2 linked regions of the Kluyveromyces lactis genome follow. The protein of the gene in region 1 interacts with the protein of each later gene in a biochemical or structural test. Links are inferred from orthologs where the notes say so. Each region holds a gene or a part of one and is shown on either strand. Other genes may lie near its edges.

Region 1 (4,474 bases):
ACTGGTGTTTTCAAATTAGGCGATGAGATCGAAATTAGACCAGGTATCGTCACTAAAGATGATCATGGTAAGATTCAATGTAAGCCAATTTTCTCCAATATCGTTTCCCTATTTGCTGAACACAACGACCTAAAATTCGCCGTTCCAGGTGGTTTGATTGGTGTTGGTACTAAGGTCGATCCAACGTTATGTAGAGCAGATCGTCTAGTGGGTCAAGTCGTTGGTGCTAAGGGCCATTTGCCATCTATCTACACCGATATCGAAATTAACTACTTCCTATTGCGTCGTCTATTAGGTGTAAAGACCGATGGTCAAAAACAAGCAAAGGTTAGAAAGTTAGAGCCAAATGAAGTTTTAATGGTGAACATCGGTTCCACCGCTACTGGTGCCCGTGTGGTTGCCGTCAAAGCCGATATGGCAAGATTACAATTAACTTCCCCTGCATGTACAGAAGTTAATGAAAAGATTGCATTATCTAGACGTATCGAAAAGCATTGGCGTTTAATTGGTTGGGCTACTATCAAGAAGGGTACCACTCTTGAACCAATCGCTTAATCTGTAAATTAACTAAATGATTTTATATATGTCTATATGTATATATTGTCACATTAATGTTCCATTTTCTTGGTAGAAAAGGCCACATTCTTTTGCAAGATGAATATCTTTATTCTTCATGATGAAATGCCTAGGTTCTACTTGTTAGCAGTTATTAATGAAATTGCGTCCCTATACGATTCTGTTGCCAGGAATTTGGGCAAAGAGTCGTTCTTCATCATGATAAATACGGTATTTCTGATTTTTTCCAGTAACTGATACAAATCCTTCAACATTGATATAGCATGAATAATGACGTATGACTCAGTACCCTTATTAAGAGGTGTCGGCGCCAATGGCATTGACGTGTTACTATGGGATTGTACTTTATGCTCCACGCATTTCTTCCGGGCAGCAGGATCGAGGCTTAAGGGTCTATTAACAGATGCATCCGAAATGGCTCTTGAACAATTTTCCTTGCCTGAAGTGTCGAACGCAGTTTTAGTTGGAGACTGAGGGTGGAATATTATTCCAGTAATTGTTTCTCTAACGTTATGATCAATATTAAGTTGATACGGAGACCCCAGTGCAATATAAGAGGAGTAAATATGGTAAACCAGCGAAAGGCATTCGCTAGTTTGTTTTAAAAGAGCTGATTGAATTGTATCTTTCAGTTTAGTACTACCACCAGTTTTCCATTCCCTTAGATCCATCTTATTGTGTTCGCTCTGGTTTCGAGACTCAATGAGTTTTCGCAGAACCGACATTCTTTTTAAAAACTTCGTTATTTCAAAGTATACGTCTAGGTTTTCTGCACACATGTCTTTGCAAAGATGCTCTCTAAAAAGATATCGCATCCCAGGATCAGCCAGAATTTGTTTGAGAGACAGCAACTTTAAACCGTCAGGATTATAATTATCGTCCCCAGTACCTGAGCTCGAACTTGAATCCGAGCTTACATCATAGTTCGACACCATTACATTTTTGGTTCCAAAATCATGTCCGCTTTTGAGCTGAGAATTACCTGGGAGTGAACGACTGGAGAGTTTTACGCTGCAATTAACGCCGCCATAATTCTCAGTATCCGTTCCGATTTTAACCCCGTCCATGAAATGCGGAATCTTGGGTAGCCCATCTACTCCCCATTGAATTACGTCCCAACCGGCTTGGGTCAATGTATAGTGTGCTGTTTTTGAAATTAGAAACTTTTTCTTGCTGTTTTGACTGGGAGGTAATAAGATTGGTGTAATTAGGCCGTATTTCAGAAAGAGTGCTGCAACTGCAACACATTCTTTAGGGTACATTATATCAGTACATTCCATCAACCATTGCCAAAGGGCTTTTGTGGTGAAACAGTAGTCAATAAACATTCCTTTTCCAAAAGTTTTGTTCCCGAACAATCGAAGCCCACAATCACTCACATAATATTGAATGTGAGAGTCAGAATCTGGATTTGAAAAAAATCTATATGCAAACGGAGATTCTCTGTCCTCATCTTCAAGTTGTCGAGAGTTTAACGAATGTAGATTGTTTTCAGTATGTTGAGACTGTGAATTTCCTGAAACATTATTTTTAGGGTTTTCACCAAGCTCGTTTACGGCGAAGTCTGGTGACACATTTTCAAATGAGAAAACATCTGAGCTTCTTTGATCCAATAAGTCAGAGAGCTTAGGAATTTTATCTGTTGGATTTTTTGGGGACCATATATTAGGTTTTGGACCCATGACCTTGTTGAACAATAGATTTATGAAGTATTCGCTTTGAATGACAGAATCATCTAACGTATTTCGCTCGAACTTGAAAAGATTCATCGTATTGAAGTTTGAAGTTAATATTGGAGGCAGCTCTTTCAATGCAAACTTCCTGGCATAATCACACGTTACGGCCACCCCTTTAGGAGTCGGCTGCAAAAGAATGTTCTCTTTTGGCCGACTTCTTGTCTTATCCGCAGGTGTATGTAGTAATTTAGCTTTCATAAAAGTGTTCAATAGCTGGTATCCCAGTTCTGGTTTGATGGAATAACTGATGTAGATACTAGTGGAATTCATTTCCACATTAAGCTCCAGCTCCTGTAGTAGATCAATAGCCTCCGTAATTGAAAATGTGAACGGAAAACTTTTCTTAGCGAAATTCAAGAGTCGATTGCTACTTGATCTTGGTTTTTCCTCCAGCGGAAGACATATTATCATAATAGAAAATACTGTTTTCAGTTCATGAGTTAATATTGAGCCATCGGGTGAGCGGTCGAAGCTATTAGAAAACAATTCATGCAGCGTTTTTTCCTTTTTATTTGACTCCGAGACCATATTATCTATTCATAAGAAGAAGTAAATCAAAAATAACAAAGAGCGCGACAGTACAACATGCATATACCTCCTGGTATAAATACAGCTAAACCCCCCTTTAATTCGTGAAGCGAAGCCAACAGTCTTTACGTCTGAATAAATTCGAAGTTGTCAGTTCTTGGTTTTGCAGTAACGTACAATCCACATAAATACCAACTGCAAGTATCACCTCTCGAGAAGTAGGGTTGCTAACATTTGTATCGAACGGCTCAAAGCATTCCTGGTGCTCTATATATAAAGGCAAATGTTGATGATCTTAATGGCTTGTTTCAGATTATCACGGCGTGGTTATATCCTGGTTCACCCAGTAACGGATCTTTTGAAACAATGTTGAATTGTTTGTGATCAAATCATTTTCCTTTTTCCCTTCCAGCGTGTTTTTTGGGCAATATTGACATGAAACATGCAAAGTTCCGGTACAAACCTCAAAATGTCCAAGAAATAGGAAAATGAAACAATAAAGCTATGATAAGATCGGTGGAATTATTATACCGACATTCTAATCGATACTCAAACACAGTGTGAAAATGAGGCACTGTTTGCCTTCTTTTAATTATTTGTGCAAATCGGTACCTATTTGCTTGTTGGAATTGTTTATAGCAAACACATCGAGCATCAGTTGAAACGTTCGAGGAATTTCTGTGATGCACCGCCAACAAAGAAATTACCCCAGGGTTCAATTCTGCTGGAAAGTGCATAACTTAATGACCATGTTTAAATTGTTTATCAGTATATTTAAGTTGCTGCTTGGTGATTATTGACGTGCGTAATTTTGATTTGGTTTCCAAATCTGGATACATCAACAATGAATTTATACCAGCAAAAAATCTTCATCAGCCATAATTTCCCTTTTATACGTAATGATATCATTCACAGACCACATATCATAATCTGGTTAGCACTTTAATGGATGAATTTCTGGGATACATGAAGAGAAACAAACGCACTTTCCCTCGTAAACTATCTATATACTATTTAACAATCTCGAAGCAGCAGGCCACTTTGGGGAAAAAACATGTCAAGTTGGGTTTAAAAAGTAGAAAAGTACCAGCATAGTTTCAAGCCCAATTTAAATTTAATCAATAGTAGTCTGCAACGTCTTTTGGTTTGACATTGTTGGAATGCGATGACTTGGAATCTTTTTGCGTAGATTGTGAGCTACCATGGCCAATGGTCCCTGGATTTTCAGAAGCTCCCGGTCTGTAACTTCTCCGATCACCAGCTTGGCTGTATTGATTATACCCTGTATTTCTAGAGGTATTGTAGTCCTGATTTTGATATCTGTTAGGATAGGATCCTCCTCTAGGAGCAGAAGGACGTTGTATAGTAGGATGATGCGAACGATCAGCAGGTGGAGCATAATTGTTATTATAATTTAGACTGTCTCTACCAGTTTCCCATCCTCCTCTATTACGGTAACGTTTCCCGGCATTATACGACTCGGTAGTAATTCTTGTATTCACACCGAACCTTGATTCAGCCGGATATTTCGATGCATATGAATCACGAGGATTCGGTGGTAATTTATTTGGTCCAGTCGGTATACTGTTTTTAGGACCTTTTGGAAGAGGCGCAGTCGGAATAGGTTCTTTGGG
Region 2 (3,631 bases), on another chromosome or scaffold:
CTGTTTCCGGGTAACGGACGGCAGCGACGTCCACTGGAGGTAGACGCTGATCGGCGGGTAATGTGGCAACACGTTCTGCAGCTTGTGACTCGGTCATTGTTCGAGACGCCTTCGGTGTTCCCTTGAAAGTAGATATCATCGCATCGATCTTTGCATGGTCTAGGACCGGCTGAATGGGCCGTATGATCTGGCTCAATGGGATGTTCTTTTCCTTGCACAAACTCGTCTGCATAGACATTCTCTGTAATGGTATGTTGGGTGTGTATGTTTTTTTATGGCTCTTGATTAACGGTTATATCCTGCAAGTATCTATATATTGTCAGTACAGTAGAACTTCGTCAAGCAAGGGTACTTATGTGTCTTGTTGAAGTTCTTAAATAGTAGACTTGCTTGCTATCTTTCGTTACCCGGAAACACCCTGTTTTTTTGCCTTTTCACTTTTAACCTGGCCTTTGTGATGGGGTCTGACAAATATTTGAGGTTACCCTCTAAAAGATCTAGAACCTTATTCATCGCTTAACTATGTACAACTTATATGTAATGTGTGCGCGTTACCTGACATATTACACCTAAAGGATTTATAAGATGCCGCTCTTTTTTAGGTTTTGTTGAATTACTAAATCTGTCACGGCACCTAGAACGAATCTCATTGATTGTGTATCGGTTGCACAAGTTCGATGTACGTAGATGGGCTTGTTACTTCTGTTCAAGCTTAAGAATAATGATTCGAAATATTTCAGTCCAGTCTCGCTATCACCCAGTTTCCCTGGATAATTGGGGAACCATGTTCTGATTGGAGATCTCTTCACCTTTTCTTGGAAAATATCTACTTTGTTTAAGAATAGTATGAAAGGTGTGTTGGCAAACCATCTAGAATTCAATAGTGTATCTAATAATACTATCGATTCGTGCATACGGTTCACCCTTTCATCTTCGAATAACATTTGATCATATTCACTAATTGCTATTACAAATACCACAGCAGTAATACCTTCGAAACAATGGATCCATTTTCTTCTCTCGCTTCGTTGTCCCCCAGCATCGTAAACTTTGAACGTGCTTGGTCCAATCTTGAAACTGTTTTCGGTGATCCCAGTGGTCTTAATTCTTCCTTTCAAAATGTCCATGTCATCACAAACATAATCAACTCGAGCGAATTTTTCAATGTTATCAAAATAATACGATGCAGATCCTTCCAATTGAAATTCACTTGACCTATTGAAACATTGTCTGATCCCCTTGTCCTGCGTCCAAAGCTTTTTGATTGCATAGGCAATTTCTTCGTTGGTACTTTGGTCTATACGTTTCAACTCTGAAGTCTCCGAGGAACCAGTATAACTTGTCCCGGCTAATTTTTCACTCAAGAAAGCGTCTGTCTCATCCTCTTCTTCAGGATCAGCACCATTTGATTCCTTGAATCCAAGCGTGGTTTGCCTCTTCTTCTTAGATCCTATGCCATTATATTTCAACACATACTCGTTTAGGAACTCTGAACCACCCGCCATTCTGGCATCAATCTGGTCCAATGTGTTAGCACGGAAGATCTTCTCTTTGCATTGGTGTAATTCCGTATTCACCAATTGCCCCGAATGTGCATTTTTCAAATCACTATCCAATTCGATGCCCAACTTGCCTGCTTGTAAGATTAGCGTTCTCATCGACTCAATTGCATCTGCCCAGATGACTTGTCCATATTGCATTCGTTCTCTATGGGTAAATCCGCCTTGGTGTAGGAGTTTCATTTGTTTCAACACTGTTGATTTACCGCTTTCTCCTGCTCCTAATAGAAGGAGCTTCACCTCATTCTTATTCTTATTCCTTTCCTGCTGTAAATTTTGCTCAATGAGATCATTTGCCCTTTTATTTTGAATGAAGGGATCATCCTCGTTCTCATAGTTTCCTGTACTTGCGACGCAACCCATAATGCTTAATTTCTTGCCGGCCAGCGTCAGTTTCTTTCATTTGTTTCATTTTCCTTTATAGTTCACGTTTTCGCCGTAGTTGGCACGATGTGGCCAATCCGTCTATATATATGTTAATATTAAAAGGTAACGTAGCAATATTTACTTTACATTCCTGATTTAGCATTGCATAGCCTTTATCATAGGAACCTCAAAACATGATGAAGCTTTGAGTCAAGAACCTCAACTCAGATACCCTAGAAATCTCACAGAGACGACAACTAAAATCAAGCTCAATTGGAAAATAAAACAAGCAAGTAAAAAACAAACAAGCACTTGACACTGTTTAAGGGTTTGCTTCCTTTTAAAAAACATTCCTAGCAACGTCCCTGTTTCAGATTTAGGTTGAAGTCGCTCTGCAGGTAATTACTGCACCACAATATGTTAACGGTGGCTGCAAGATCGATTGCTATGTACAACGGAGAGCTGTCTCCATCTGGAGGTCAAGTCACGTGAGAAACAAGGATGTTTGTCGCACATTCGGGTAATGAAATGTCATCTCCCGTGGATATCAATTTCATTCTGAAACTTCATCAATTTGATATCAATTGAAAAGAAATGAATGAAATGGAAAAGTATGCAGAACATGCGAATACAGGAAAGCTTATTCATGCGCATTTCATCAGGATAGGCTTGAACGCAATAGTTCGAAATATAGAAGCAACATCGTTGGCGGCTTAAAGGGGATTCGCGACTGTTTAGAAGCTAACTGTGGAGTGCAAAAGAATGCCAGAACAGCCTAAGTGTCCTGTGGATGACTCCACGAAGGAAGTGTGGTTGAAACAACAGAGCACTAATAATAAGAATGAATCAGCAAAAGCACTACCTCCAAATCATCCACCGGCTAGTTCTGAAGGGTCAGGAGTTTGTCCGGTAGACCATTCTTCCCAGGATGTATGGCTGAAAAACCATCTACAGACCGTTAATGGCTCTGCTGGCGGTGCTGCAGTTGCAGCAGCACCAGCACCAATCATATCGATCATCACTGAGGATGTCGAATGTTCAAGTGATGAGATACCTGAACACCCGAAATATACCACAGCTGTTAATTTGCCAACAGAGAGAGAGAAATCCTCCATTCCTAGAACCGGAACATCGGATAATTGGGTTTATCCATCAGAGAAGCAATTCTTCGAGGCAATGAAGAGAAAAAATTGGGATCCCGAAGCTGTGGATATGAAAGCCGTTGTTCCCATCCACAATTCCGTTAATGAAAGAGTATGGAATTATATCAAAATTTGGGAAGACGGACAAGGGGGAGATGTCTGTGGTGGCATCAAATTGACTAGTTTCAAAGGCGATTCAAAGAAGTTAACCCCAAGAGCATGGTTTAGATCCTCAATCCTTGGAATGACCAAACCTTTTGATAGGCACGATTGGGTCGTCGATCGCTGCGGGAAACAAATAGATTATGTCATCGACTTCTATTCGAATCCAGAACCTGAAAAGAACCACCTTCCTCCAATATATTTGGACGTTAGACCAAAAGTGAATACTTTTGAAGGTTGTAAATTACGCGTTATGAAAATGCTAGGATTTTAAAGACAGAAGGGATCGTCCAAATTTTCAATCCTAAGGGAAGATAATGGACAAAAACACATCACGGTATTAGCAAATACATTTATATCTCTATATTTATCGGTTTGATCGAGATACACAAACCTAATCGT

Evidence for each region.
Region 2: of the proteins of SST2 (region 1) and GPA1, one has a biochemical effect on the other in vitro, tested with the Saccharomyces cerevisiae proteins (2 studies listed by BioGRID, with this or other methods). The link is inferred for Kluyveromyces lactis from reciprocal best matches to the Saccharomyces cerevisiae genes SST2 and GPA1.

The regions. Positions count from the first base shown.
Region 1 is NC_006040.1:894,377-898,850, reverse strand, and holds SST2 (GTPase-activating protein SST2), read right to left. Parts: upstream 2,841-4,474; coding exon 693-2,840; downstream 1-692. Other genes in the region: GCD11 (translation initiation factor eIF2 subunit gamma), read left to right, coding at 1-555; cyclin-dependent serine/threonine protein kinase SGV1, read right to left, coding at 3,959-4,474. UniProt on the Saccharomyces cerevisiae protein: Desensitization to alpha-factor pheromone. Is involved in regulating the signaling pathway for responding to mating pheromone.
Region 2 is NC_006042.1:2,404,888-2,408,518, reverse strand, and holds GPA1 (guanine nucleotide-binding protein subunit alpha), read right to left. Parts: upstream 1,923-3,631; coding exon 579-1,922; downstream 1-578. Other genes in the region: SRX1 (sulfiredoxin), read right to left, coding at 1-238; cytochrome c1 heme lyase CYT2, read left to right, coding at 2,688-3,503. UniProt on the Saccharomyces cerevisiae protein: Alpha subunit of the heterotrimeric guanine nucleotide-binding protein (G protein) that mediates mating pheromone signal transduction.